Schizosaccharomyces pombe: one gene and its partners. The gene in region 1 interacts genetically with each later gene. Each region holds a gene or a part of one and is shown in the gene's direction. Other genes may lie near its edges. The genes, in order: SPOM_SPCP20C8.02C, SPOM_SPBC3F6.01C and nnr2.

Evidence for each region.
Region 2: mutations in SPOM_SPCP20C8.02C (region 1) and SPOM_SPBC3F6.01C together harm fitness more than expected from each alone (negative genetic interaction), as found in Schizosaccharomyces pombe (one large-scale study listed by BioGRID).
Region 3: mutations in SPOM_SPCP20C8.02C (region 1) and nnr2 together harm fitness more than expected from each alone (negative genetic interaction), as found in Schizosaccharomyces pombe (one large-scale study listed by BioGRID).

Annotation. Positions count from the first base shown.
Region 1 is NC_003421.2:25,936-36,806, reverse strand, and holds SPOM_SPCP20C8.02C (uncharacterized protein), read left to right. Parts: upstream 1-5,286; coding exon 5,287-5,622; 3' UTR 5,623-6,246; downstream 6,247-10,871. Other genes in the region: protein new22, read right to left, coding at 150-386; SPOM_SPCP20C8.01C (uncharacterized protein), read left to right, coding at 7,384-8,127.
Region 2 is NC_003423.3:4,182,237-4,193,247, reverse strand, and holds SPOM_SPBC3F6.01C (serine/threonine protein phosphatase), read left to right. Parts: upstream 1-6,289; 5' UTR 6,290-6,353; coding exon 6,354-7,775; 3' UTR 7,776-8,649; downstream 8,650-11,011. Other genes in the region: U3 snoRNP protein Nop14, read left to right, coding at 1-1,625; thioredoxin reductase Trr1, read right to left, coding at 2,014-2,981, 3,281-3,281; erg26 (3 beta-hydroxysteroid dehydrogenase/delta 5-to-4-isomerase), read left to right, coding at 4,519-5,541; pho8 (alkaline phosphatase), read left to right, coding at 8,724-8,928, 9,063-10,456; cbh2 (CENP-B protein 2), read left to right, coding at 10,838-11,011. UniProt on the Schizosaccharomyces pombe protein: Protein phosphatase that specifically binds to and dephosphorylates the molecular chaperone Hsp90. Dephosphorylation positively regulates the Hsp90 chaperone machinery.
Region 3 is NC_003421.2:1,435,270-1,446,280, forward strand, and holds nnr2 (NADHX dehydratase Nnr2), read left to right. Parts: upstream 1-9,219; 5' UTR 9,220-9,383; coding exon 9,384-10,367; 3' UTR 10,368-10,613; downstream 10,614-11,011. Other genes in the region: apn1 (AP endonuclease, minor transcript), read left to right, coding at 3-66, 327-581, 654-1,380; rpl6 (60S ribosomal protein eL6), read left to right, coding at 1,884-2,471; histone demethylase Jmj4, read left to right, coding at 3,106-3,130, 3,174-4,570; siderophore-Fe(3+) transporter Str2, read right to left, coding at 4,820-6,401, 6,514-6,725; SAGA complex subunit Spt3, read left to right, coding at 7,733-8,656.

The DNA of each region.
Region 1 (10,871 bases):
TGAAAGTTGCTACTGTGACACGAGAATTGAAGCGTGACACCTTAGTAACGGCGCAAAAACAATCGAAGGGACGTAATTTAATCATTTAAATTATATCCATAAATAGTTCTTTTTCACTTTAAATTCAAACGCATCGCAAACTCGTTGTTTCAACTTGATATTCTCGGTGGGATTAAATGAATACTATAACCATTAAAATATTGAATACACTGTTCCTTCGTCAAATAATCGACGTCTTCATGTCTTTCTGACAATGGAAGTTTTAATTTTCCCGGTTCATCTCCATTAAGAAACGGTACTGGAAGATCCGGCTGACCATACTCTTGAGTCATATTTTCAAGTCTCCTCGTTAGCATGGTCAATTTGCAAGAATTATTATCATTCATAGTTTGCGTTTTTTGTTTCAAAAAATTTAAATTTTTTTCTCTTACTTTTTAAGCATTTCCTCATTTTTTTTGTTCAAGAAAATTAATCCTGTCCTTTATAGAGGAAATTTCACCCTCCATAAATGCATTCCATTTTGCATAGAGTTAAATTTAGATGCCATGCCTTCCTGCATAGACTCCATTTTAAAAAATACTTATTGGACGAAAATTCCTAATTCTCTATTTGTCTCTCTAAATTCATTGTGAATATTATACTTCTGCTCGGAAATTTCTCTTTCAATTACCAACTTTTCCGATCCTGTCCTTCAATATATTTTATCAAAATTTAATGGAACAAAATTTGCAGGTCTCTCAATTCTTATTTTTCTGAAAGGTATAAAGTCTTCTGAAGAATTATTTGTAGTATGAAGTTTACATCCACGCCAATATTTCTTCTGACATCTGCCTGACTAAATAACGAACGAACTAAAGTCCCATATAAGTGAATTTAATTTAAACTAGTTATAAGTACTATAGTAAATAATAATAATTTCGATTGTCTCGCATGTGCCAATCGGTATACACAGAATCGAGGAACACGATATAAAAAATTACGGCATGCAATTGAAATTAGTGTTTGATGTATATACTATATAGTAGCTCTAAACTTTTCAAAAGAAGAAAAGGGATTATAATACCAAAGAGATTATCTGCTGGTGTATGCATTTAGACAAGATGAGATAACTTTGAGCATGAATAATATATATTTGGCTACCTTTCATCCAAAATGTTGTCGTTTTATTTTGGGATGATAGTATAATCAGTCGTGCTACACGTAAAATTCTGATCGAAAATACCTTTAAATCTGTCAAATTTCTATTTATGGTTCTATAACTGGATATTGACAACAGAGAAGCGCATAGGTTGTTTTCGTACACTTAAAAATTTTATTTCTTAAAAGCCAGATAAGAACTATAAAATTTCTACTTCAGATATATTAATTTAAACTTTGAGTAGCTATCTAATGATATGAGATAGAAACTGCTAAACACTATGATCAATCCCAAAATATGCTTAACACCATTATCGGGTAGACGTACGAAGAGATAGTAGCTTAATGTGGTTGATTTATGCGAATATCACATATAGGGTGGATGTCTAATTAATTAGTTTTGCTAGGTTAAACTTTGAAAAAATTTAATTTGAATTAAATTTAATACTGGTAATTAAATACGATTCATTGCGCTTCTTAATCAATATGATAGCTATAAGTGAGTTCTTTATAAATTTGTTTGTATTTTTTTTTTTTAAAAAAAAAATTAAAATTTTAGAAAATACCTTAAAAAACCTAAGCAAACCTAAGCGAATTTCTATTGTGTACATCAACTTCAATTTATTTCCTATTAATTTCAACACAAACAAAACATTGTCAAGCATGACTTAGACTCGATGTTATAATTTTCATTATTGTTTCAGCACAAATAAGGGGACTGCTTGTATAAGTTGAGTAGCCTAAATGAAATTTTCTAAATTGTAAACATCTTCACAAACTGCTACCGACCAAATAATGACCCACTCTTACAGAAATTTAAACGATACCTATCTATTTTTTTAATTGCTCAAACAAATTATTTATCCACAACCTCATTTTTATTTGGAAGAAAATGAAAGATACAATAGAATTTTGAGTATATGAGACTAAAATCAATGTAAATAATTCCCGGAAAGCAATGATTAAAGAGCATGCAAATATAGAGACTTTTTTCTTGCAATATAAGCCATATTGATATTTATTTCCATGCTTATTTGTTTAGGATTCTAACTGTTATGCGAAATCAAAGTCCAACTTTTCATTTTTATTTGACATTATCTTGATGGACGATAGCTTGCTTAAATCGCTTATTTTCATTTCCATGTGTTACTTAAACATAAACTTCACGTTCAATACGATGGTGAGGATTAACATCAAGTACAAGCTTATTTATACTAGTAATTCGTTTGTTGTATAAACGAAGTATGAAGAAGTACGAAAAAGGCGCGATTCAGCTCAAAAGTGAGTTTTGGGCTTCCTTTCTTTATTAACATTATGAAATCGACTTTTACCGAACGGGCATTGCAAATGTGATACGAATAAAACCGAATACCTCGTTGGTTCATGATACAGTTGAAATGATTTTGGAACCCTTATCAGTCAAGATGTAAAGGATGAGTTCGATAGATAAAATATCTCAAGGTTTTACAACAGGGGAGAAAACCATTTTCAAAATTTCCCTCTAATGACTCCTACCGCTGATGCACTCTTTTTGAATGGTTTATCTTAGTAAAATTTAAATTCACTAACAGCTATGGAACTGTATCTATTAACGTAGATACCGATTATTTAGAGATTAAAATGTTGTAGAGCTATTTCCCAAATATAACTTTACACAGGATAGTTATTCTGAATTTTAGATCGTTACAAAGTGCTTTTTTAATCGTTTTCTGTATCTAAGTTCCTAAAGGTTCAATACATCGAATATGAATTTATTCAAGCTGTTGAATGTTACTGTAACCACAAGGATCTTAGCTCATTGTAATATGAGAGTTAGCGGAGATGTGCTTATATTCAATATGTTATCAGTCAATGAGGATGAATACGGACTAGCAAACCAAAGTTGCTTCCTTTTGATAAAACGTGTATTTTTGCTATAGAAGCACTAATCAATTACAGAAGCAGACCCTTATCCTGCCACTCACTACTCTCTTAACCAAGTCGTCAGAGGTGGTGACTTCGAATAGCCCCATTGGTAATAATGCGAACACATATTATATTAAGCTACAACAGAGAAGAGCTACTACTGACTATAAAAGCGAAAAAGTGATGTATAAATATCATAATAAGGACAAGTAAAAAACAATCTTCTACTAAGAGAAGATAAAGCAGCAAAAGATATAGAAATACAGACTCCTTAAAATGTGTGATACTTGTGTGGCACGTGTCCTTTTGACCACAAGCCAATCACTTTTTGAAGCCGTTCTTTCAACTTGACAGTCTCAAGAGGACTAAATTTATAAAACACCATACCCATGAAGATACTGAATACACTGTTCCCTTGTCAAATTATCAATGTCTTCGAAGCTTGCAAGCGGTGGGAGTTCATAGTCTCTAGGTTCATCTCCGTTAAGGAATGGTACTGGAACAGCCGAATAATGCATATTTGAACGGACCATATTTTCATATTTTTTTGTTAGCATCATCGACTTGCAAGAACGATCATCAATTTTTTGCATCGTTTGAGCCATATTATTAAATCTTTCTTCAGTTTTTTGATCCAAAAGATCGATTTTTCTATCTAATTGAGATATAGAACCTTTGATGGCAGTTAATTCGTTCTTAAAAGTAGTTGCTTTACCTTTGATGGAAGCAATGTCATTTTTCATGACAGTCATCTCATTGTACATAGCGTCAAACCTAGAATTCATGTCATTCTGCGTTGAGTTATTTTAGAAAATATTCGCTCGAAAATTCCTCCTAGTTTAGTATTTGCCCATTCGTCTATCCAGCGTGGAAACTGTAATTCTCCCAATGGTTCCTCCGGAACTTCCCTTTCTATCGCCAATCTCTTCCAATTTCGCAACTTTTGATCACATTCAGTTTCAAATCTATTTAATGTTCCTTTGCTTGACGAAAATTTTTCAATCGTTTCCTGATTATTCTCACCGAATTCTAGTAAAGCAGAATTTAGAGATCTTTCGAATTTCTTGATAAACGGTTGCAAGTCTTCTGCTGAATCATCTGGTGGAGGTAAGTCGAAACCATTTTCAAAATTCTCGTTTGACGTCGATTTTTAATCAATAATGAGCGTAGTCATTTTTTAGAAAGATATAGTGTGTTGTTCTAGTAAATGTTAACGCTGTTTATTAAAAGTTGGTAGAGTGTTTTAAACGTGTTGTTCAATATGTATCCAGGATCAAGAACACCAGATAAAAATACAATTACAAAGTTACACCAGTTTATGTATAAATATATATATAATTTTCAAAGCCTTTGGAACCCTCATTATCTACAATGAAAACAAAGCATGCAAAGGACCAAAAGAGGTAAACAAAGAAAAGAAAACAAAAATAGGGCCTTTAATAAGTAAGAACAATGAAAATGTCTAGTGGCGCAGATGTTTAGATAAATAGATAACTGCATTATATGTTTGCATTAAATAATTCCAGTTTGGAAATATAAGAAACTTATTCTAACCTGTACTCACCTATGTCAATTTTCTAAAGATAAAGTTAAAATAAAATAAAAATAAGTTTTTAACTTTATCTTCAGTTGTCTGGTGTTTCTTAACCTTCATCCCATGGGTATACAAAAATAAACAAAACATTGAAAGGAATTATATTATCACTCAAAACTGCTTTTTGCTAAGAATTTGACTCATTGTTGAAATTTTTTTCCTTTCGTTTAACAGGAAAAGATCAAAGATTATTGCTTTGAACATATTCCAACTAATTCCAAGTCGGTTAAAAAAGCGCTCCTATGATTTTAACGAAAGGTGCTGAGGCAGTGTTCTTCCTCTACGCAGTTTGGTTTTAGAAAGACGATACAATAAGATGCGCTGGTGTTTACCAATATCAAGTTGCTACATATAGTACCTGTGTATTGCAATATAATAGATCACAAGGAAAACTCACCGCGGTTCTAAGTATGTTAAACAGATACCAAACCGCGTAGCTAACACTGACTCCTCATACATCAAATGCCCCCGGCAACAACCGAGTTAGTCGCATGGGACAATTATCATGTAATATATCATTTCAAACCGTTAATATTGTTCAACTACAAAAATTAATTTAAAGGTAGAACTCAGTATATATACACTTTTTTTCGGTTAGTTTTATAAGCTAAACGGAGAAAGATATAACATTAGAACCTGACAGATCTTATATGTTATTGCTGTTTTGTATTTGTTGTGTATTCATAAAACTTGTCTTAGCTGAGGTGAATTTGACTTTTGTTGACTATGCTAAGCTGCCTCCCAACTATGCAGAATTACTTGCTAATTTAATTGACCAACATGGACTGATGCTATTTGATACAGCTGATGTACGAATTGAAGCTTACAACTACTTATTAAATAGCATTACAGAAACAAACACTGATACCGATGCTTACTTATGTCAACTTCTAACAGGTCAGTATACCACTGATTGTTATATATTTGGTGACAGTGTTTATGAAGGACCTGAAAATATCAATCCTTCAACCAGGTATATCGATTAAGGATTTGGACATTAGCTTTTGCAATGTACAAGGGGCGAATAAGAGACAAACCGTGTCTCTTGCTTCTTGTGGTGTGTTGATAGCACATCTGTACAATGTTCAATACAAATATGTCGATGATAGTCAAGCAAGTTGGTTTGTGACAACAACTACGGAGTTTCATGGAGTTGCATAGTAGGAGGTCAAAGCTTTCTAAGTTTAGGTTGTCTAGTAGAGAGATGTGAAGGACACTGTGCTGGTTCCGAACAGACAATGCAATGGAGCTGCAAAGTTAAAGGAGCTGGAGTCAATTCCAAGTTTACGGACTACTGCAAGAGAAGTCGTCCAACAGGTTGTACTCAGCTATTTAGGCAACGCAAGGTATATAGCGTATTTCCATTTATAGATATTGTCATTGATGATACCTACGAATGAAGTCACCAGCAATTTTATCTCAGGGTAGTAAATGGTGACTTTATTTGAGATCATGTTTAGAGCTTAGTGGTCTATGAAGTTGAACTAGTCCGACTCACAAACCAGATGAGATCGCCCGATTTGAGATGATTAGAATAATCTTAATTTTAAATGAGTGAATAATACACAGGATAAATGGTATAGGCAGGATTAAGAGATGTCAGTACTTGTAAAAACGAAGCGAGTAATTGGATAATAAATATGGGTTAAATAAATGTCAACTTAGACCAATAGTTAGTCAAGAATATACAAAACTCAATCTTTCCAAATTAAATAAATTGTGTTTATGTACGATAAAAGTTCCTTTTGGATATCAATGTGTAACATTACGTAAATGGGCAAATTTGCCATTTTATTTTTTATTCAATTTATTTAAATATAGTTTTCTTTAGAGGCGTTTCTATTCTATCTAGCATTTTCAAGCTAAATGACAATTGTACATATCAAGTATTATGTAGGAGTTTTTACGTATTTGCTTTGTGCAGTTTACCTATTATATTTGCTCATAGTAACTATTTAACAGCAGAGGTATATTTCAATGAAAGTATACTTGCTTGAGAGTTTCTTAAACACATTGTTTCAGGAACGTGAAAAAACTCTTTCGTCTTAAAATAATTGGGGGTATTCTATTAAGCTTTGTTTCTTTCATTAATTTGCAGAGGCTATTTCAATAACCAGTTTATATCCCTTGAGCATATATTGTAGCTACCGCTTATACAATCTACAAATTATCTAGCTTGAATGAGTAATGTGCTTTTGATTAAAACACCTTATGATTGCTACAAGCTGTTAAGCAGCCTTTGAAACGAATAAAGTAATCCAGGCTAACGAAATTTTTTGTATCAACATTGTTGGCCATGTTTGCTTTTATACATGTACTCCTCTATTCAATAAATCTAACTTTGTAATAAGTTACCTGCAAATAAGCCATTTTTCTTTTATTTTACAGATAAAGCCCATTTTCATTATCTGTATCACGTACTCCCAATGTGAAGTTACTTAGGTTACCTTGTTTCTTAATCCATCAAAAACTCTTTTCTTTGTCCTTAGCATTCTTTGTTTAAAGTTGTATATAAGGGGAACTTGAGAGATTTGAATTTACTTACAACACATATATTAAATATTGCTTTCAACACACGTTTGTACTTTTATTTTCCAAGATTTCCCTTTCTGAGAAATATTTGTCAATTAGTAAACATATAAGGCAGGCTACAAAAGATATCATTTGTATAGTTATAGTGAATTGCAATTTTATCGTTAAAAAGAATACTGCGGTTTATTGCAACTGGTTTTGTATAAATAATAAGGATGATGTCGAACGAGAATTTTGATAATGACTACAATCTGCCACCACCAAATGATTCTGCGGAAGATTTAAAAATTTTCATTAAAAGATACGAGAGATCTGTAGATTCTACATTGTTAGAAATTGACGAAAACAAAAGAGAAGCACTTGAAAAATATATTGAGGAACGAGATCGTAAAATGAAATATGAAATTGAATGCAATGAAAGGCTACAAGGATGGAAAAAGTTAGCGATTGAAAGGGAAATTTCTGAAGAACAATCGGGAGAAGTACAATTTCCACGCTGGATAGATGAATGGGCAAACACTAAACTAGGTGGAATTTTCGAACGAATATTTTCTAAAATGGACTCAATGCAAAATGACATGAATTCTCGGTTTGACGCTATGCAGAATGAGATGAATTCTCGGTTTGACACTGTACAGAATGAGATGACATCTATGAAAGGCGAAATGGCCGAAATGAAAGTTGAAATGGTTGAAATGAAAAGGGAAACGATCCGTTTGAACACTAGAATTGATTTACTCGAGCAAAAAACTGAAGCAAGGTTTCAGTCAATAGAGCAGCGATTTAATTCTATAGACCAACGATTTAATTCCATAGACCGAAGATTTGATTCTATGGAGCAGCGACTTGACTCAATGGATCAGAAAATGGAAACAATTGATGCTCGCTCATGTAGGTCGATCATGTTGACAAGAAAGCTTGAAAATACAACTCGTTCAGACCAAGGTTATTTGGCATAACCAGTGCCATTTCTGAATGGTAATGAGCCGGCTAATAGTGGATTACCGCCGATAGAAAGAGTCGAAGACATTGATGAATTATCAAAGGAACAGTGTGTCCAATATCTTAAGGGATATGGTATAATGTTTAGTCCTGCTGAAACTATTAAGTTGAAAAAGCGACTTCGTGATGCAGTAGGCTTATGGTCAAAAGCGAGTACTGAATATGAATTTCATCAGTTCCATTGAATTTATGTTTTTGTTCAAATATCTTGCTTTCTCTTCGTTTTTTATTGATACTTTGATATTTTATTGTATATTTTCGCTTTGATGTTTTATGTTTCGGTGTTAATAAACGTTTTTTAATGAAATTGATGCTTTATATAATTAGATGTCAATTGATCCCTTCTATCGTAAAGCTTATATAGTGAAAGACGTATATTTGCAATTAAGAGCAATTTATCTTGTCCGCGAAAAGGTTGACTATTTTACAAATTGTATTCAACAACTAACAAATCCCAATTTTTTTACCATAAATGTTACTTGCTAATATTTATTGTACAGATAGCTTTCCTTGCGATAGATATAACTTTATTTAGCGGAATATCTTTGTGGACTATATGAGATGAAGGTCTGGTTAGTGCCTGCAGCTGACAATACAGAAGACGATCACTACTCTAATAAGCTAACCGGATTTTTTTCACCGAAGTATAAATTTTTTTTGTAACTAATATTTTACAATTTATATTTTATTTCGTTCAAGAAATTCATCCGTTTTGGCATACAGCTTCCTATAATTTTTTATTTGTTGGTTTTGTGAAAACAAATATATGACTAGGTTTTTTCAGATCCCTGCATAGAGTCTAATGAAATTGAAAAAGAAAAATGAACCTTTTAAAGACCAATCAACACTTCTCCTTTTTCATGACAAAGTCTAAAGACGTCCATGATGTGATAACGATACTTTCACTTTCATTATGATACTATTATATTTACCCTTTTAGTAGTAAGTGAGCTCAATGAGAATATAAAATTTGAAAAGATATTCATGTGTGCTAACACACTTTTAATCCAATTCCTTGTTTGTTCGTAACATACCTGGTACACCAATCTTGCGCATAATGATACTGTAGACCGTAAGGAAATTGTACATAGTTGATGCATCAGATAGTTAACTAATAACTGTGCAAAGCATGAAATTAAAATGGGCCAGAATTTCGTAAATCGGTTAGCTTATTGCAAAAAAAGTAATAATATTTAACGAATTCCACAACATGTACTAAATAATAAATCCAAATTAATACGGATATTTGCCCTATGAACTTGTTCACATTTCGATAGGTGGTAATTATGTAAAATATGATCCATATTTTTTGTATTCGTGCGTAGTTATGTAATAGTTGGTAAAAGTGGTACTTTTGAAATACACATACTAATTGTAACCGAAAGAGCGAAACAGCATTATGAGCCTACAGATAAGATGCGATATTTTTTGCTCTAAAATATCGTGATTTGAAAAAAGAAAAGGAACTATTTTTTTGAGCTCAACTATCTTATGCAACGAACACAAAGAAACCCGGCCTAATTAATTTGACTTTTGATTAATAAAGTGGAAACAAGAGAGAAGAAGGAAAGTGAAATAATAAGGATAGAAATACTACAATTCAACTTAAATGCCATTTTTACATTGGCGGTCAATCATACAATAGTTAGGTGTGCTAATAAGCAATGGGGTTAAAACCTTTTGATCCTTATTCTGAATTTTAATTTTATTATGAATTCTTATGATATAAGTCATTTAGTGGAGACATAATCCATGCCTCAGTAAATCAGAACATGAGCAAGTGTGAAGTTCGAGTGGCGACATCCAAAGAAGTGCTCATAACTGTTCTTGTGCTTGGATTTAGTTTCTGATGAAAAAAATCGGCAAACCGTTGCTGCAAGGTTGGCAAAGTTAAACGGGTAATTGTGGAAACGCTTAAGAAGAACGAGCTTCTATCACATTGTGGACCCCTGAATTATACGTACTTCCTACACGGTGTAACAGTTGTTAGCGATAATACACTGCGTTGCATATCACTATATGTCGCATGTTCTATTTACACATTGTACCATAGATGATATGATATTGAGATAGAATTGAATGATAACTTATTAAAATATGTAGTAATTAGAATAACGTAGATAGAAGTAAAGCTGAAGCTCGTTTCTCAGCTTAGTTCTAGATCGGTTACTGATACTATTGGATTTTTTTAACAATAAATATAACACTATTGTTTAAACACACTTAGTATATCGCAATAGAAACTCATTGCAATAAATTTATTGTTAAACATATACCAAACTGCGTAGCTGATAACTAAGGTAATTTTAATTATCGTTCATTGTCAAAAACATTGATACGTTGCTATACTGCAAAGTCGACTCGGAATGTTTTGTCAATAAATCGAGGCCATAGTAAGCGCAATGATATTAAAATCTTTATGTTATAAAAAATAACTGTAATGAAAACCAATGTATCTTGAAGGACATTTTTTATCTACTTTGCTCACAACTTCTCAAATTGATAACAGAAAATCAACGGTTGAATATGACAATCAAAAATTTTGTACGATGAATATGATTTTTTATGTTTATGCTTGTGTGCCGAATTTTTAGATTTCTAATGCTCGAGATACATCAAATAAAACCAGTCCTTAATAACGTTTTTTAAAAGTCCTATCTCTTAATAATAATCATCTGAATAAATTTTTTCATGCACCGTT
Region 2 (11,011 bases), on another chromosome or scaffold:
CGCATCCTACTGAGCGTACTAAGACCGAAGAGGAGCTTGCTCAAATTGAAGCTGATCGTTTGCGTGAATTAGAGGACCAAAGAATTTCTAGAATGGAACATTACCAAGAAGATTCTGCTAGTGAAGCTGGTAGCATCGAAGATGAGCAAGCTACTGATAACGTATTTGGGTTTGGAAAAGGTTTAGAACAGGAAAATGAGGAGGAATGGAATGGAATAAATGAGGAAGCTGAAGAATCGGAAGATGAAGAGTCAGTAAATTCGGACACATCTTTTGTAGATGATGAACAGCTAAAAGTGGAGGAACAACCTTTAGTTGGATCGGCTATAAAAAACGAAGGCTCTGAAAAAGCGTCTTTAGCATATACGTACCCGTGTCCTACTTCTCACGTAGAGTTTGTTCAACTTCTTAAAGGCCTGGATTATAAGGATTATCCAACTGTAGTCTCTCGTATACGTACTTTGCATCATGTTAAGCTGCATCCAGATAACAAATCGCGCCTTGAAAATTTTTCTGTTATTTTATTACAACATATACTTCACTTAACTCGTCAACCTATGATTTCAATGGAGTTATTGGAGCATTTGACTGAGCATCTACACTCTTTGGCACAACAGTTTCCCAGTGCTTTAGGAATATCCTTTATTTCAGTTGTTGAAGGGATGCGCAAACGCCTAGCAAAATCTTATGTGTATCCGGAAATTAAGTTTCCTGAAATTTCTGACTTATTGTTTTTCAATCTGACTGGTTCAATCTTCCCAACTTCAGATAAAAAGCATATTGTTGTAAGTCCTGTTATGCTTACAATGGCAGAGTCTTTGTCCCAATCTCCTGCTGATTCTCTATCAGATGTTTGCAAGAAGCTGTATATTGCCAATTTATTCTTGAAGTTTCAAAGTTACAGCCACCGTTATGTTCCTGAAGTTATAACGGCAGTCTCACAGGCACTTTATTTGCTATACCCCAATTTCATATCTATAGTACCAGGAACATTTGCACTTCCTGATTCTTTGAAGGAAAAGCAAAATTTATTCGCCATTCAAGATATATCTCTCGATGAACCTCAAAGGCTAAGCCTATATGAATTAGAAGAGTTACCGACAGGGCTTCTACAGTCTTCCATTTTATTTATAACTTTAAATTTGATAGAAATGGCGATTGACATTTATTTTAAGGAGCAAGCTTTCATTGAAATATTTGTACCCATTATGGACATGTTACAATTGTACTCTTTGAAAAAGGAACTTTTGAGTAAACGTTTATCGGAAAAATTATTATCTACTTTACAGGCTGTTTCCGATTCTATTGAATCAGCTAAAGCAAACCGTAAACCATTGGCTTTACAATCTCATCGTCCTTTAGGAATTACTAGTCAAGTTCCTAAGTTTGAGGAAGGTTATTCTCTTGACAAAAGCTCCCATGATATTGATCCCGAAAGGGCTCAACTCAACAAGTTGCGTGCTCAACACCGCGATGCCAAGAAAGGAGCTATCCGCACTCTCCGCAAGGATGCCAGGTTTATTGCTAGGGAGAGAAGGCAAGAGCAACGTGCTAAGGACCAAGCCTACAATGAGAAAATGCGGAAGTTGGAAAATCGTTTGCAGCATTTTGATCCGGCTGTCTAGAGAAAGTGTGCATTTCTTTAAGTTTTTGAATTTAAATTATAAAGGGTAGTATAGGGATCATTAGGGGAAAATTTATAGGTAATTGATGATTTTAGCTTAATACTTCCAGCCAAAGTCCACTATTACTATTATATCAATAGTAAAAAAACTTATATAATTTTACATACATACCATGCGTAAACTAAGGTGTAGAAAAAGGGAAACAATCATTATTATTGCTCTTCGTGTAAAAATAACTACGAATCAAAAAGCCATGTATCTATAGTAAACAATAATTGATAAGATACTCCTAAAATTATTGGATAAACAAAAGAAAGGAAAGGAGCATACAAAATGCATATGAATACCAAAAAGGGAAAAGGGAATCAGTAACTATTCTAGATTAGTTCTAATCGGTATCTTCCAATTCTTCAAGGTAATGCATAGCCAATAAAGCTGCTTGACAACCACTTCCAGCAGAAGTGATGGCTTGGCGGAAGACCTTATCTTGAACATCACCAGCGGCAAAAAAGCCAGGAATTGAAGTACGAGGAGTTCCATTAATAGTTTTAATGTAACCGGCTTCATCAAGCTCAATTTGTTCAGCTACTAACTTAGTAGCAGGGATATGTCCAATAGCATAAAAGAGTCCGTTAACCTGAAGATCAGAGACTTCATTCGTGTTGGTATTCTTGATACGAAGGTTATTGAGCAACTTGCCATCGCCTTGGGCCTCCTCAGCAACGGTGTTCCACAAAACTTCCACCTTAGGGTTAGCCAAAAGACGCTTGGCCATAATGGGAGAAGCACGAAGCTTGTCACGGCGCACAAGGACATAAACTTTGCTACCATACTTTGTTAAAAACTGGGCCTCTTCGGCAGCAGAGTCACCACCACCAACGACAGCAAGAGGCTTGTTACGATAAATGGGAACGGCACCATCACATACAGCACAAGCAGATATACCTGCTTGCCAATAAGTATCCTCACCAGTAATGTGAAGGCGACGAGCGGAAGCACCAGTAGCCAAAATAACGCTGTCAGCGGTATGAGGCTCTTCCTCTTCAGCACCCTCCAACCAGTACTTGAAAGGGCGAGAAGAAAGATCTAATTTGGAAACAGTCTCGGTAATAATTTCAGTTCCAAAACGCAAAGATTGAGCGCGGAAGTTTTCAGTAAGGGTAGTACCATTGATACCATCGGGAAAACCAGGAAAGTTTTCGACATCGGTGGTAGTAGTAAGCTGACCACCAGCAGCAATACCGTTGGCAAGCATACCTTCGTACATTACGGGCTTAAGCTCACCACGGGCGAGATAGATGGCTGCAGTATGGCCGGCGGGACCAGACCCAATAATAACAACCTTGTTGTGAGTCACTAATGAAGTCAGTAAAATTAAAAAAACAAAACAAAAAAAGATAAACGTTAATGTTGTAAGGCGAGAAGGATAGAAAAGCTGAAAGAACACAAGATAACCATTATCGAACAATGATAAAAAAACAGATGAAACCCAATCTTACACGTGAGTTCGGAAATAAAAAAGTTTCCTACTAATCAACAAAAAAAAAGAAAAAAATTCATCACCGAATTAGTTTTATTTTTAGGTAATAATTTTTTTTTTGTTGGGTTCGACTTCATCGCCGTCACATTTCCTGCACGTTTTTCGTTTCACTTACTATTGATATGAGTATTTGTAGAGAAATATGTTTGTTTTAAAGGGGAATAAATAGATCCTAACTTCAAAGATTTCTTAAAAGAATCGGGTATGCCTTTATAGAAGCTAAATTTCTGATAAGGAAAGAATGTCCTGAAGTATCGAAGGAATGCGATATGGTGGTAGTGGGTAAATTGATTCTTATATAGAGCCCTGGGAAATGGTGTGCTTACTAGCGATGAATAATGAGACTCGTTCGAGACATTCGTAAAAGTGCGAACGCTTAGATTAACAGTGGCAGAACGAGACACCGATATCGCGTAAGCAAATTTAATGCCAACATGGTAGAAGAGGGTATAGGAATGTCGAGAATTAGTGAGGCCACGATAAATGGACGAACCACCAAAGCCATGAGTAAGCGACGCTTTGTACATGAAAGACGACTGACCTATGCTAGTACAATAGAAAGAACTCGACAAGAAAAATCCACGTTTTTGTTAGTTAAGAGTTTAAGCCTCCACAATCCAAACAAATTGTCAAAGAGACGCGCAGAAAGCAAAATTCTCAATGTAGCCGTGCTGGGCTACTTGCCTTACTAAGGTTTTAACCAAAAACAAGTATGATTCAAGTGCGATTGGTGTAGCCTAGAAAAAACAATTGCGAAAAGTAATTTCAAGGAAACAAATTTTAGTCGTTTACAACCCAAAAAAGAAAAATTTGCTGTTCCTGCGATCAACACTGCTTAATAATTTATTTATTAAGGTTACCAACGAGGAAAAATGTTTTACGCTGAATATTGTGATTTGATAAAAGGTATAACGATAGAATTTATAAATAATAAATTGGTTTAACGTTCAACGAAGAAAGTACGAAAATTGGGTTTTGGCTGCTATCAACATTATCGAGCTTTAAGGTAGCACGCAGCATTGCTTTACAATAGGCCAGTTTTAGATGTGAACGGTACGAGGTCGGGAGGTCATCGTTTTCTTGTAATGGTACTCGAGATGTTACTCACTTAATTTTTCTGTTTTCTAAGTGCGTACTACATATTGTACTAATAGAGTTTCAATCGGCTACTATCCTCTAACCCATGTTCCATATTCAACAGCTGCTCTCTTTCTCGCTAATCATGGTTAGTGTATTGCATCTAGCCTACACCCCAAAAACACAGGTAGCAAATAAGCTCACTCATTTCTCGATATGGTGTAACGTCGAATACCTGGCAAGAACCAGACAATCGTTTATTCTTGTATTTTTTTAATGCCGATGAATTCCGTGTTAGTTATTGGAAGTGGATTTTTAGGAGGTCATATCATACGGCAGCTGTGCGAACGTGAAAATCTTCGAATTGCTGCATTTGATCTCTTTGAAAATGAAAAGTTGCTACACGAGCTTCATGGTCAATTCACCATGTATACGGGTGATTTAACGAAACAAGGTGATATTGAGCGTGTTTTTGAGGAATTTCATCCACGCGTAGTTATTCACACTGCTTCACCTGTGCATAACCTTGCTCGTGATATTTACTTTGAAGTGAACGTAGATGGCACAGCGAATATCATCAAAGCATGCCAGAAATTTAATGTTGATGCCCTTGTTTATACTAGTTCCGCAGGTGTAGTTTTCAATGGTGCTGACCTTATCAATGTGGATGAGTCCCAGCCCATCCCAGAAGTTCATATGGATGCCTATAACGAGTCCAAAGCTTTGGCAGAAAAACAAGTCTTGGAGGCAAGTTCTGAATCTTTAAAAACTGCTGCCCTTAGAGTTGCTGGTTTATTTGGTCCAGGTGATCGCCAACTCGTCCCTGGTATGCTTTCTGTTTTAAAGAATGGACAAACCAAATTTCAATTGGGTGATAATTTGAATCTTTTTGATTTTACCTACATCGAAAACGCTGCCTATGCTCATCTTCTGGCTATGGACAATTTACTTTCTAGTAATCCTACTGCCAATGGCCAAGTCTTTTTCATTACCAATGGACAGGTTATTTACTTTTGGGACTTTGCACGTGCTATTTGGGCACATGCAGGACACGTTCCCCCTTATATCATCAAATTCCCTAGACCGGTGGGTATGCTCTTAGCCACTGCTGCTGAATGGGTTTGTTATTTCTTGAAAAAGGAACCTGGCTTTACACGTTTCCGTGTCCAATTTAGTTGTGCTAACCGTTACTTTAACATTCAAAAGGCAGAAGATGTTTTGAAGTACCATCCCATTGTGGATTTGGAGGAAGGAATTCGTCGTACTTTGGCTTGGATGGATACTGAGAAAAAACATTAAATTGAGCCATTGGCCTTGTTATTCTTTAAAAGAATATTTAATTTTTAAATTCTAACGCTTCGTAGTCTTTTTTCATTTCTACATAGTTCACTTTCTTCTCGATGAGTTCTACCTCTTGAGCATGTCGATACGAAACAGTTTTTTTCCGCTTTGGAAATTGTTAATGACTTATATCATCATTTCATTTGATAGATGATTGCTCAGATCTTAAAAAAGGAAAAAAAAATATTTGGGTATCTTGGAATATAGACAAGATCGAATAACATCAATATAACGTTCTCTTTGTACTTTCTACTCGTTGTGCTTGAGACGAGAAGGATACAGCTCGTTTGCTTTTGTTATCTTTCTTTGAACTATACGAAGATTGTCCGGTATCACTTGTGTTTAGAAAACAATGGTTATTTCCTTTACATAATGATTGCCTTGTAAGTTTTTCTCATCTGAGATGTATTGATGTATTATAAGTTTCGAGTCATTTTATTTCGTAGATAAATGAATAGACACACTTCATAGAAACTGCTTTTATTACGCTTGTAAGTTTTTGAGATTTCTAATGTAAAACATTGTGTAAATTCTGTATTTATTTTTTAATATGTATGCTGCGTTGCAAAGTTTGCATTTATAAAGCCATTAATTTGTTGTTCTAAAAATATCATTTTGATCTTTGAGAATCCTAAATATCTGTTTCTTTGTAGCCCAATACTACCAATTATTAAGCTGCATTGTTCGGACAGATAAAAACTTTTTTAGCTACTATCAACCACCAAACAAAAACTCACAAGGGCTTGAATTTGTACTTTTTGCTCAATAAAATGGCTAAAGAAGCATTGGAATTAAAAAATGAAGCCAACAAGTTTCTAAAAGAGGGACATATCGTTCAAGCTATAGATTTGTATACAAAAGCCATTGAGCTTGATTCTACAAACGCAATTCTTTACTCCAATAGATCTCTTGCACATTTAAAGTCAGAGGATTATGGTCTGGCAATCAATGATGCTTCCAAAGCTATTGAATGCGACCCCGAATATGCAAAGGCATATTTTCGTCGAGCTACTGCTCATATTGCTATTTTTCAACCCAAAGAGGCTGTCGGTGACTTCCGAAAGGCATTGGCACTAGCACCCAGTGATCCAGCTGCTCGTAAAAAGCTTCGTGAATGTGAGCAATTGGTCAAAAGGATTCGTTTTCAGGAGGCTATTCATAATACTGAACCTCCTTCACCACTTGCGAATATCAACATTGAAGACATGGACATTCCTTCTGACTATGATGGTGTAATATTAGAAAAGCAAATAACGAAAGAGTTTGTTGAAGACATGAAGGAACGCTTTTGCCAAGGTAAAAAACTCCCCCTAAAATTTGCATATAGCATATTGCGAGACTTAAAAGAATTACTTGAAAAAACTCCTTCTTTAATTGACATTCCTGTTAAAGGGGATGAGACATTGGTTATCTGCGGTGACACCCATGGCCAGTATTTTGACTTGTTAAACATTTTCAAACTTCATGGTCCTCCAAGCCCTACTAACAAATATTTATTCAATGGTGACTTTGTCGATCGTGGTTCGTGGTCCACTGAAGTCGCTTTTACTCTTTATGCATATAAGTTATTATATCCGGACGCTGTTTTCATCAATCGCGGTAATCACGAAACTGACGATATGAACAAAGTCTACGGATTCGAAGGTGAATGTCGTAGTAAGTATAATGAGAGGACATTTAATATTTTCTCGGAAACTTTTTCTCTGCTACCTCTTGGTTCCCTAATTTCCGATTCTTATCTTGTTGTACATGGTGGCCTATTTTCTGATGATAACGTAACATTAGACCAACTACGAAACATTGATAGATTTAGTAAAAAGCAACCTGGACAATCTGGGTTAATGATGGAAATGCTTTGGACCGATCCACAACCTGCTCCAGGACGAGGACCATCGAAACGTGGGGTGGGTTTACAATTCGGCCCTGATGTTTCAAAACGTTTTTGCGAGGCTAATGGTCTTAAAGCAGTGATCCGTTCTCATGAAGTCAGAGATCAAGGCTACGAAGTTGAGCACGATGGTTATTGTATTACTGTGTTTAGTGCTCCTAATTATTGTGATAGTACCGGAAATCTTGGTGCCGTAATTAAAGTTAAGGAAGACATGGAGTTGGATTTCCACCAATTTGAAGCCGTTCCCCATCCTAACATTCGCCCAATGGCATATGCCAATGGACTGCTAAGTGGTATGTGATGGGAGACTGCAAGCACTGTTCTCAGTGTTTGCACCCACATTTTTTTAATTTTCTGGTTTTTGAAAAAATTTGTTCCACAGCTATATGATCCAGTTAAATTATTTTTTGAAGACTTGGTTGTTTGGGTTTTTATGAAGTTACCGTCGTTCAAAAAAATAATGCTATTTGTATGTTTAATCTTTAGCTTAAGGATTGGTTTCGATACCTGGATGGTTAGGAATTCCCAAATGTTAATTCCTGATTAGCTACTCTTTATTCCAAAAGTTCCATTTCACGTTCTTTGTACAATAAAAATATAAATAATGTTTAAGTTCATATGAACAATGAAGTAAATAAAACAATTGATCCTTTAATATCGCACTGATTTAAAATGCTGTCTTCTTATTATTATTACCCTCAAAATTCACTGCCATCATAAGTCATCAATGTGTCTTCTACTTTAAACACTGTACTTTATTTTCAAGTAACAGTTCAGTCCTTTACTTGTTTGTTTATTTTCTGTTCACAACTCATTTGCTTATATATATTTTTTTTCGTTAATGACAAGATCTCAATAATAGTCGAAAGGTAATTGCATCGAATTTTGGATATACGGGATTTTCATGTCAGCAGCTGATTCTAATATTTTCAACAGCTACTTGCATTTGACAGTAGATATTACATGTATATATAGACAGTTTTACCATCACGCTATTTCTTGTGGACTTGGTGAATTGCCATTCTCGATTAACTTGTGCATATACTATCCGATATCAGATTTAAGATAGCGAGGATCGACATGGAGAGTTAATACTTTAAACCATGACGTCATGCAATGTATGGTTGAGCTGTTTCAACACCAAAAATTTGTACTATCCATCAACAAGTCATACGCGTTGAAACGATCTTTACCCTTTGACATCCCTTCTTTTAGAGATATTCAATTTTTACCGTTTAAATAGTTTTCAATGGCATCTGAGCGCGATCCTCTTCTGCCAGTGCATGGCGAGGGTCCGGAGAGCCCTTCTCGTAGAAATTGGAAAACTTGGATAAAACATGGAATTCTGTTAATCCTTGTTTTATCAACCGTTATATTTTTTTATTTTTTCTCGTCTCATAAGTCCAAAGGGACCAATGAGAAACCAAAATTTGTTATTATGATGGTTTCTGACGGTAAGTGATTGGAGTAAGCTCTCTCATAAATCCGTTGCTCTTTTGAAGGAAAATGATTTTTTTTATATTTAGAGCACTGGGACGGAATCTTCCTTTTTTTTACAATATTTCTCGGTGACTGACTTTTTTTAAAGGAATGGGACCTGGCTCTTTGTCTATGACTAGATCGTTTGTAGAGACTCTAAACGATAAAGAGGGTTATAGGCTTCCCTTGGATGAGCATTTAATTGGCAGTTCACGGACACGTTCCAGTTCGAGTTTGATTACGGATAGTGCAGCCGGAGCAACCGCATTTTCTTGTGCTAATAAAACCTACAACGGAGCTGTTGGTGTTTTGGATAATGAAAAACCTTGTGGAACTATCTTAGAGGCTGCTAAAGAAGCCGGTTACTTAACCGGAATTGTTGTCACAAGCAGAGTTACCGACGCTACACCTGCCTCTTTCTCTGCTCATGCCGCGAATCGATTCATGCAAGATTTAATTGCTGAGTACCAAGTCGGGATGGGACCTTTGGGAAGGAGTGTTGACTTATTGTTCGGTGGTGGACTTTGTTCATTCTTACCTAAATCTACTTATCGATCATGTAGATCCGATAACTTGGATCTTTTGAAATATGCTAGGAAAAAAGAAGGTTTCCAAATTTTGCTTAATAGAACTGACTTTGATGAGCTATCAAACGCTCAATTGCCTTTGCTTGGTTTGTTTTCTGATTATCATCTCAGTTATGATATTGATTATCAGCCTGAAGTGCAACCTAAGCTTTCTGAAATGGTAGAGACGGCTTTGGATGTTTTGCTCAACGCCACTAATGAAGATACATCTAAAGGATTTTTTTTGCTCATAGAAGGGAGTAGAATTGACATGGCCTCTCACAACAATGACCCTATCGCTCATGTTTACGAAGTTATGGAATACAACAGGGCCTTTGAAATAGCAAGTGCATTTGTAGAAAAGAATGGAGGATCTTTAATCTCTACATCGGATCATGAAACTGGTGGTTTGACTGTTGGTCGCCAGGTCTCCAAAAAATATCCAGAGTATTTATGGAAGCCGCAAGTCCTATCTCTTGCTCTCCATTCTATTGAATATCTCGCTTCAGCTATCGTGAACCATAACCAAAATACGTTGCTTCCTTATATTGAACAGTTTGTTTTACCCGCAATTGGCATTCCTGACCCTAATCCAAAGCAGATTCATGACATATACGTGGCCCGGCATAATATATTTAATCTTATAAACGTGCTTAGTGATATTGTTAGTGTAGAAGCACAAATTGGCTGGACCACTCACGGCCATACTGCTGTCGATGTAAACGTTTATGGAGTAGGAGAGGTCACTGAACATCTTCGAGGAAATATGGAGAACATTGAAATTGGACAGTTTATGGAGATATACTTAAATGTTTCACTAAGCGATGTAACTGAAAAGCTCAAAGATGCTCCCATACATGGTGCCCCAGATCGACCTAGTTTAGTGGAAACTTCATTTTCCGATCGTCTTGTAGGTTTCGGTGCTGATTTGTTTTAAAGCCTTTTAATCAAGATTGCCATAAATATATAATTTAGAATACTCTCATATATGCTCAGCTTATTTAAATCGCTTAATTATGGCATTCAAATTCTTTTTAAGTTAAACCTATTTTACTTCTTATCTTTTACTTTATTTAATTTCCACTGTGGTTGAGATATCCAACAATTGCGATTTAAGAGCAAACGAATATTACAATTATACATACAACTTGTCGCAATAAAGATAGTTAACATATCCATAACGAAAATATTATAATAATATTATAATAACAAACACGTTAATATATCAAATATCACAAACATATCGGGATATCATCCATATCATCCACGACAGCCGCGATTACCTCCCTTACAACGATTTTTTCGTAAACTTGAGAGAATGCCTCCATTGAGGCGTCAAGCGTTGACTTTAGCTGAAAAAAAAGCAATTAGAAAACATTATTTTGAGTCAGCAACTAAACCTTCGCAACAAGAGCTTATTAGTTGGTTCGAGGAGCACTTTCATAAAAAGCTAGCACAATCTACCGTTTCGTCAATTCTATCATCAAAGAAC
Region 3 (11,011 bases), 1.4 Mb from region 1:
AGTAGGCGCGCATATTTCTGCAGCTGGGGGCGTTTTTAACGCTCTAATCAATATGAAAAATATCAAGTAAGTATATTCTTAAAGCAATCAGCTTGAATATGTTGAGAAAGTGTACGTTAGGCTTGGCGTAATCGTGCATTATTGCGACTTGCAAACTGATTCACTAGTAGTTATTAGCAAATTGTTAGAGGATTTGCTGATGGTACGTCTATTTGTCGTTTTCAAAAACCATAGCTTATGCTATAAACTTTTCTCACATAATTTTGAAGGAGGTGACTGATGTGTGCAATAAACAAAGCTTATCTGCTAACGAAATTTTATATCAGTGCCAATAGTTGTGCTTTTTTTGTAAAATCACAAAGAAAATGGACCTCTCCGGATTTATCGGAGGATGTTGCTCAAAAATTCTTGGAGACAGCATCCGAAATGAAATTCGATGCGAGCAAACAGGTTCTTGTCCATGGAAGCTATCTGATTAACATGGCCAATGCCGATGAGCAGAAAAGAGAACAGGCATTCAATTGCTTTGTCGACGACCTGAAGCGCTGTGAAAGACTTGGTGTTGGTTTGTACAATTTTCAGTATGTCATTCATAGTGTGCTCTATTTACTTATATTTTACCCAAAACGTACTAACTCTTTTGATCTTTGTAGTCCTGGTAGTACTGCTTCGTGTACAAAGGAAGAAGGAATCAACAACTTAGCAGAATGCATCAATCGTGCGCACGAAGAGACCAAAAGCGTTATTATAGTTACAGAGAACATGGCTGGTCAGGGAAATTGTCTGGGAGGGACCTTTGATGACTTTGCAGCTTTAAAGTCAAAGATTAAGAACTTAGACCGTTGGAGGGTTTGCTTGGACACCTGTCATACATTTGCTGCAGGCTACGATATTCGCACCGAAGAGAGCTACAAAAAAGTTATTGACGAGTTTGACGAAAAGGTTGGAGCCAAATACGTGTCTGGATGGCACTTAAATGATTCCAAGGCTCCTCTTGGTAGCAATCGTGATTTGCATGAAAACATTGGTTTAGGATTTTTAGGATTAGAGCCTTTTCGACTAATAATGAATGATTCACGGTGGGATGGGATCCCATTAGTTTTGGAGACTCCTGCCAAATCTCCAGAGCAATGGAAGAAAGAGGTTGAACTTTTACGATTTATGGTAGGTAAATCATCAGATGATGTCGAATTAATGAAAGAATCAGCGCGTTTGTCCAATTTAGGAGCAGCATCCCGGAAGGAGCATTTGAATAAATTTGAAAAAAAAGAAGCAAAGAAGGATAGAAAGAAAAAAAGCAAGGATGGCGATCAAACTACTTTGTTACTCAGAAAAAAGCAAAAGCTTGGAAATGCAGAAGTTAAGAGCTTGGATGAATAAATTCATGTAACATGCAATTTAATGAAAGATAAATCAAGGGTACGATTTAAAAATCCTAAAATTTGATTCATGAATTGCATTCCCAGCATTTTATTATTGCCTTTATCCACTATATTATGTTTTGGCACAAATGACGTTCTCAGTTTCTTCATTTTTACACTGCCTATTTTGCAGTATTTATCATTTGATTCAGGAATTATTATCGAAAGCAACTTCGGCTCAATTGACTACTTTAAAGGCATCTTTTTGTTTCAATTATATCCATATTCTTCGAACACTGGAATACGGAATTTTTAATCATATAACGATACATTACTTATAATTTTATCATTTTACCATTTCCCATGAGCAACGCTGTTCAGTGCTGGACTGCTCTAACTTTCGTCCTTGCCCTACCCTAAAGTGCTAACACAACATGTGACTGTTCTTTTTGGGAGTCACTAAATTTCTCATTTTATGTTAGAAGAATCTCTACACCACCCAAAAACTCCAAGCATAAAAAGATGTCTACAGTCAAGGTCAACGGAGCTAAGAACGGCGGAGAACGTATGGTGTTGCCTGCCGGCGAGGCCGCCGCTAAATACTATCCTGCCTACCGTGAAAACGTCCCCAAGAAGGCTCGTAAGGCTGTACGCCCTACCAAGCTCCGTGCTTCTTTAGCACCCGGAACTGTTTGCATTTTGTTGGCTGGACGCTTCCGTGGTAAGCGTGTTGTTGTCCTCAGTCAATTGGAGGACACTCTTGTCGTTACTGGCCCTTACAAGGTCAACGGTGTCCCTATCCGTCGTGTCAACCACCGTTATGTGATTGCTACCTCTGCCCCCAAGATCGATGTCTCCGGTGTCTCTGTTGAGAAGTTCACCAAGGCTTACTTTGCCAAGCAAAAGCGTAGCGGACCCGTCAAGAAGGATGAAGCTTTCTTCGCCGAGAACGCTCCCAAGAACGCTCTTCCCGCTGAGCGTATTGCTGACCAAAAGGCCGTTGATGCTAAGCTTCTCCCTGCTATCAAGGCTATCCCTAATATGAAGGAATACCTCGCTGCTTCCTTCGCTTTGTCTAACGGTGACCGTCCTCACTTGATGAAGTTTTAGATTCATAACCTTAGGTAAATAGGTAAATCTATCTTTGTGTTGGCACTTGCGGGACTTCTTATTTATTGAAACTTTGGCATTTCCGGCCCTTGTAAGATTCCATCGAGTTGGTTATGCATGCGCTAAGTAGAAGAGCAGTGCACTGCACATATGTATCTAAAATTTTTATAAAATTGGCAAGTAGTTACTGAACATATTTTTTTGATTGTTAAAGCATATTGACTTCAGAGTGTAGTATAATGTATGCATTTGATATCATTTCGCTGAAGCAGATCTGATTCTTGTATATGTAATTTGGTGTATAATAACTATATAACTGTGGTTTGTTGGTTGCCCAGTATATATATGAAATGTAGTTAGCTATATGTTTAGCGATTTAGCTTTGTTATCGCTTTTCGTTACATTTGGAAATGTTGTAGACGCCGTTATTTCATTCACAACTTGTATCCAATTCAAGTTCAAGTCTGTGCTAAATTTTCTTGTATGCACATAACTTTCTTTTAGTGCATTAATACTATCCCAAAATAAATATTTGTGATCATCAATTTTCAATAGAAAAGCAATTTCCGTTTTGAGCGGCCATATAAAAGGCAAATTTCTCAAATGGTCGTTAGCAGAGCGATAGCAACTTATTATGAGTGAATTATCAACCTATAAAGGTAAGAGAAATTAGGACTCATTGCTCTGAGCTAACGAAAGCAGGATACTCGCCTAAACACGGAGACAAGGTTCCAGTGCTCCAGAACTTGAACGATTTAACACCTAAAGATTTTTATGATAAGTTCATTGCTACCAGGACTCCCGTCATCATTAAATCCTCCTTACCAGAGTCTGACTGGAAGGGTTACCTATGGCAGCAACAGGATTACTTGCTCTCTAAAATTGGTGATATCGTATGCAAGGTTGAGCCGATCGATCCTGTTTCTGGGACCTTTGGACAAGGTATGAGTCGAAATGAAATGTCCATCAAAGAATTTTTTCAAAAACTAAAAAATGGTGAACGACTTTATTTGACTACACAGTACGATGAATCCAACGAGGTTTTAGATGGAGATGATGAGGTTTCTCTTCTTGTTAAAAGTTTATGTCCTCATCCTACTGATGGTTTGCTTACCGACTTTTCAATAACCCCGGCATTAATGGGCAATTTGGTCCCCCAGCAATGCAATCTTTGGATTGGAAAAAGTGAGAACGGCACTTCTTCCGGTTTACACCATGATTTTCACGATAACATATATGCGGTCATTTCCGGATACAAGAGATTCGTAATTATTTCACCAGATCATGCAAATCAACTTAAACTCTCTGGAAAAATTTCAAAAATCCACCCTAATGGGTTAATTTCTTATGAAGGTGAAGATTGCCCTCAGCGCAGCGATGGACTCACTGAGCTTGATGCTGCAATTGCAAAAACACAATTTTTAGAAAAAAAAATTGGTTCTTTGAAAGAACTAGCGGTCCCTCAAGAAAGTATCGAACTATTGGAAGCTGAATATGAAAATGAGATGGACAGAGTTCTTCAAATGCAAATTGGCGGACCTGAAGAAGATTGGAATGATTTAGAAGAAGGAGATGCTGCTAGCTTGTTAGACGGATCAGTTGGCGGTGATCCGGAAAGTGATATTTTATTGAATGAAGGAAATGATATTGAAGCAACTAGTTTGCAGGATACAAAACCCGAATTACCTGATCATTTTACCAAGGTGAGTGTTAATGGATTGCATAAATTCATGGGATTTGATGATGCTAAGAATGTTGATGTTGATAAAGATGAGCTTTCTGCTCTTGCGGGGACAGTTCCTCTAGTGGTGGATTTAGAACCTGGCGACATGCTTTATTTACCAGCAAGTTGGTTTCATGAAGTCACCTCTTCAAGCGCTAGTTCTGGAGGTAGCGATGTACATATTGCATTTAATTATTGGTTTCATCCTCCCGATAATCTTGAAGACTTTGATCATCCCTACTTGGATCGCAACATTTGGCAAGCCAAGCGTCATCTTGTTGGAGAGGCAATTGATCAATTGTATGCTACTAACAAGAAAAACGAAAAACGACCGGCAGAAGACGATTCACCTTCTCAAAAGAAAACTTGTCAATAAAACACTTATTTATAAAACATTTAGAATTGAATAATTTTAAATTTATTAATACAAACCCTTGAAAATCCCTTGTACTAATGATATAAAAAAAAGTCGTAATCGTACTCCAATGACCCAAAAATTGGAAATTTTTGTACGTTTAAGAAAGACAATTGAAAAATGAAAGCATAAAAACGGGGATTTATAAAGATAAGAAGGATTTTTGGATAGCATACTTAGGTTCACTATTCTAAAAAAATTAATTGTAAATTATTCTGAGGGAGTTTCGACGGCTGTATCATGATTTTCAGTGGAAAGGGGGACATCTCTAATTATAACAAGTCCGGCAAACATAAATAAAGAGGCAACAAGTGAGATATGGAAAAGATCCTTCTCGGTGGCAGTATAAGCAACATTAATGATATTACGAATTTGAGTCCCTTGGGGGTATGACAGAGCAGTTCGTAGGTCCCGGAATATTGATTCAATTTCTGGGACAGGAAGATGATCTTTAAGGTCATGTAACAAACGACTTGAGAGCCTCTTACTCCATACGCCTCCTGCAATAGCAGATCCAAAGGCACCACCAACAGAAGAAAACGTTAAATACAACGTGAGATTCATACCTAATTTAGCATGTGACGATACTGACTGAACAGCAATTTGCGCACTTAACGTCAGTAACCCACCTCCCATACCAGCAAGTATAAGCACTAAAACTAGGGGACGGGTATAGTGGTTATCGTTAATACCAAATAAGATGATACCCAAAATCCCCAATACGTACATAGGAACAGAAATCATAAGCAACATCTTGAAGCGACCAAACCGCTTCATGAGAAAACCTGACAGGATAGCCGTCGTAGTCATTGAAAATACAAAAACATTAAGGGTAAGGCTACTCATGTCAATTGATAATCCATAAGAGACTTGAAGGAAAGAAGTTAAAAAATTTGAGAAAATATAATAAGACATGAAATATGTGAAAATTAAAACGCATGAACCAAGGATGGTACGGTCTTTCAAAGATTTTAAGGCGAAAACGGGATAGCGTGCATATTTGACGTCGTAGAAGCATAGGGTTACTAACAAAGCAATGGAGAGAGTTATAGTAAAGAGAGTTAAAATTGTTGAGTCTGGTGAAACTACCTGACTCGAATGGGAAAAAGGCAGCAACAAAAGCGTAAAGCCAGACACAAACAACACTATTCCAAGACCATCCAATTCCTGCCAAAACAAATAAAATAGTCTAAGTTTTTCAGGAGTGGAATGATTGATCAAGTTATGATGTTCTCTATATAAACCTGCAGCCTTGGCTTTTCTTTGGTTTAGGAAAAGCGAAGCCAAGAGAGGTAATGAAACTGTTGGTAAAATGAACGCCCATATACCATAACCCAATCTCCACCCATAATTTTTCTCAGGATGAAAGGCTTGAGCAAGCACTGGTCCAATCCAAACAGTTGCAAGATAGGGAAGTTCTGGGATAGCAGAGAGAATCCCCCGATTGAGTAGCGAAGATGTGTCTGCAATAATTAATTGAGATAACAGACCTAGCCCAGTTTGGCCGCATATATAGAGGATATATGCTACGGTAAACATTTGAATATTTCGAGAAAATGCCAATGAAAGATATCCCAACACTGTCATTCCTAATGCTAAACTAAGACTCTCCGAACGTCCAAAGACATCGGCAGCCTTTACCATTGGTGCTCGAACAACTGCTAAAAGAATATTGCCCACCAAATTGATTGTAGCCAAGTTTGAATGGGCGGAAAAGTTGCTGGTTGCGTATCTTTGCAAAGAATACGTAGTTTGCTGCTCTAATGAAGATGCAAATGACAACAAATAGAGACTAAAAGAGAAGACATTGTGTTAGCTTGATCATACCACAAACACAAACATTCAACAGATGTATGCAAACACTACGTGATTTATGGATTATCATGACTACAATACTAACATACCCAAGGTAAGCAACAATAATCGATCTTTTAGACCATGTTGAAGCAATTGCCTCAGCTTTGGAAACACCTTCTAGTGACAATTCTGAAGTACGATCATTTATGGGTCCAGCATTATCAAGCTCTTCTCTAAGGGGATGAAATTGCTGTTCTAAATTTTCGTTATTACGAAAACTCTTTTTACGATGCTCCATGCTTCCATAATTCTCAGTCATCCAGAGTGTATGGTAAATGGCAGTATGCAAAAGGTACGCCAACACAAATTATCAGATCGTATAGCAAATTAGAGTTTATCTAACCGAGATGTTTAATGAAGTTGGTAAACAATAATAAATAAAGACTGATGAAATGCAGACTAGTTAGTTAATAAGAGGTTTTTGGTTGCTTTAAGAAGCGGTTAAACTTTTTTAAATAATAGAAGAATTACACTTTGACCCTTTCTCCGAGGTTCAGGCTAAGCCGCCAATTTGATGTTCCCGCAATTAACTCCTCGAATTTATGAGTGATGGCTTCAATAGGGTATTCATTTGTTCAGAGTATTCAATTTAGTTTCTAGTCACACTTAAACATTTTGGAAGTATTAAAAATTACAGAGATTGGTAGCAGACGATTTTACAGCATGCTCGAAATAGAAGCATTAAGAAGAAATTGCAATATCACTCAGACTAATGAAATCCTTCTAAACACGAAAACATAATCTAAAGAATTGCTAGTAATATCACAAATTGCTGATAATTAGAAGGTGTTTACATTTATGGCAACAAAGATGAATGATCTAGCAAAAGAGAGTTTCAGACCAAAGAAAGTTGATGCTTTTCACTTTATAGATTACTCAAGTATCTACTTTAAACGGAAGTAAACAAGTTACGAAGGTAAAAAATTTCAAACATTTACAATCTTAAATTAATAAACCTATGCTTCAAAAAAAGACAGGAGTTACTCTTCTAATAACACTTCTTCACTAACTAGTTGTACTGGATGTTCTGTAACGAAAGAATGGACTGGGTTTGCAGTTTGGATAGTGTATCCAGCTCTCATAAAATTTGTTTGCTTTTTGCAAGCTAAACGTTTGACAATGGTTTTTCTTTTTCAACTTAAAGCACTTTATGCCCCATCAATTAGTCCTTCTTACTGGAAACTATATTTTTCTTGTCAGTTTGGAGTTCAGCAACTTGTCAACTACCCACCACTTTGGGAAGTGGTTAAAAATAAGCAATGCGGAATGACTGAGACTGGCAGAACCAGTAAATATCGTGTTGAAATTCAACAAATGATGTTCATTCTAGGGGAGGTGCAGGATCCTCTCCCAGAAACCACACAATTAGTCGAAGAGCTAATACGTGGACAAGTGATGGAGATGTTAATTCAGGCAAATGAGCTAGCTTTACGACGTGGCTCAAGATCTATTACTGTGGAAGATTTATTTTTCTTAATTCGCCATGATCGTGCAAAGGTGAATCGACTAAAGACATACCTGTCATGGAAGGAAGTGCGCAAGAAAGCGAAGGAGCAGGATGCCAATCCTGCCGATACAAAAGATCTTTTTGAGGAAGTAGATTCAAAAACAAGGTCAATGAATGCAGTTGCTATGCCTTGGGAAGTAAAAAATATGTTTACAGAGCCTGTACCGGAAACAGAAGAGTTTGAAGAAGATAACGATACGATGGAAATGGCATATGCGACGCGACAACGTCTTAAAATGGCAGATGAACGCACGAAGAAAATGACGCGTGAGGAGTATGTTCATTGGAGTGAATGTCGACAAGCCAGTTTTACTTATCGAAAAGGCAAGCGATTTCGTGAATGGTGTGGCATGTCTATTCTAACAGATACTCGCCCTGATAATGATATTGTAGATATACTTGGCTTCTTGACCTTTGAGATTGTGGCTACCTTAACTGAGGAAGCACTGGCTGTGAAAGATCGAATGGATCGGATTCAAAATAGCTCGGGTAGTGGAGGCTCTCATGCAGCGCATCATCCGAAAAATTGCAGTTTATTTGATGGACTTACTGAGGGGAGAACTCCCCTTCAAGTTTCTCATGTTTTAGAAGCTTTTCGTCGTTTGCAAATCCCCGATAAAACTCATACTGCTATGCGCAGTTTTCATGGGGGTTTGGTCAAATCTCGTGTGTATCTTATCTAATCATTTTCACTGTCTCTTCTTTTTTTTTAATTGCTGTAAGGCTTCCATTTACATCTAAATGCCCTGTTTTCCTGTAATTACCCATACTAGGTACGTATATGTTATTATCCCCATTACTGGTTCTCCTTGAAACAATATGGTTTAGATCTTACGAAAGCCCCTTTACTTTATGGAGATATTAACTACTCAATATATTTCATCACATTAGACTGTTGTCTTGCATCTCCGATTGAATTCATAATTTTATTTCTATCTTTCCACTAAGCGATATTCTTAATTGCAGCAGTGGTAGTATTTGGACTTTTGGATTTTTTAATATCAAATTTTTCTTATTATACTGGAATCTCATGATATCTGTGAATATTTGCAAATCTTCTTACCAAACTTCGTTTACTCTATACAAACTGCTGATTTTCGTAATGAACAAGGGGATCATCCTTTTGATATCGTCAGTGCGAAATTTTTAAAAAACAAAGGGTTTCTTTACGTTTTTTTTTTGTTTTCGAGAACATTTGAACTTCATCACTGAGCGTCATTTTGATCATACCTTCCACCTTAACATCATACATACGCCAACTCCAAGAATAACCGAACATTCGTATTCCGAAGCACTCACAGTACTTAAGAGATACAAAATTCAGGAATTTTAAAGACTTTTTGATTTATTATAATTGTAATTCTTTATAATTTTTTGCTATCCGAAGAATTCGCTCAACAAGATTACAACATGACATCTGGATCTCCCAAAATTACAAATTTGCTGACTCGTGTGAAGCGCATCATTCCACCACTTCTTGATACCTTCCACAAAGGTCAAGCCGGTCGAGTTGGTGTTTTTGGGGGTTGTCAGCACTACACAGGTGCTCCGTACTATTCTTCGATGTCGTCGATGCTCTTCGGCAGTGACCAAAGCCACATATTTTGTGAAAAAGAAGCTGCAAATGTCATTAAAAGCTATTCTCCTGATCTGATTGTTCATCCATTTTTACGTGAAAAGGACAAAGCTGGACCAGAAGATAGTGTCGATAAATGCTTTGAACTTATAAAGCCCATGATGGGAAGATTGCATGCCATCGTAATTGGGCCTGGATTGGGACGTGATGAATGGATGCAAGAGATTATGGCCAAAGTAATTGAGTATGCGCGCAAAAATGATATGCCTATGGTTATCGATGCTGATGGCTTGTGGTTAATTCAACAACGTCCCGAATTGGTTTCGGGTTATCATAATGTAATTTTAACACCTAACGTTATTGAGTTCAAAAGACTTTGCGACAAGCTTGACATTAAGAGTGACGGACCCGATGCTTGCAATCAGCTAGCTGGCAAACTAAATTTGCTCATCATTCAAAAAGGCCAATCCGATATTATTTCCGATGGCGCTACTGCATATGCTTGCTCCGTTCCTGGTGGTCTTAAACGTTGTGGTGGTCAGGGTGACATTTTAACTGGTATACTTGCTACATTCCTTGCTTGGAGACATGCTTATCTTAGCAAAGAATGGGATACAGAAGGTAATATGGATGCTAAAGAATGTCTCTTCCTTGCCGCATTTGGAGCCTCTGCCTGTACTCGCTGGTGCAGTCGTTTGGCGTTTAAGGAATGTGGTCGTGCAACTCAATCAACTGACCTGGTCAGACATGTGGGTAAAGCGTATAATGCGTTAATGGAGGATGAGATACCGTCTGTCGAGGAAAAAATAAAAGATTAAAAAAAAATAATATTTAAAAACCAAGAAGATAAAGGACCCTTAAACTAATAATTGACTTTTTTGCTTGTTTGTTCCCTGGAATTGACATTATTACCATGTTTTCAAGTCTTGGTTCAAATTCCCAAGCAAAGGGATACCTTAAACTTAGTTACTAGGAATGACTGAAACGAAAATACCAGATTATTAATGAAATAGCGTATTTAATTTTAAAAACCATGTTCAAAATAAACATTGCATAGTCGTTGGTATCATTGTTGTTGAGGAAATTTGATGTAGCTGTCACCGTTTTTATTTATTGTAACAGACAAGGGCAAGCAGACTCTTCTTTTTGATTCGTAATTGTCATTATTTACATTATCAAATTTAACGGAAATTAGTATTGTTCCTAAGTTTTACTATAAGACGATGTATCTATGAGCACGACAATAGCTTCGGAAACCAATTCAAACCTTCATATAATAGTTAAATTCTAATATTCTACGATTTAGATATCTAGATTATTAATCAATTCCTATCTTGACCTCAACGTTGTATTTTCATTCTACTGTTTTTCTTCTTGGAAAGTCATAATTGACAATATGGAATATTGAAATGCGTTATCAATTAAAAATGTTACTATTTAATTTGAAAAAAAGAAATGTGAG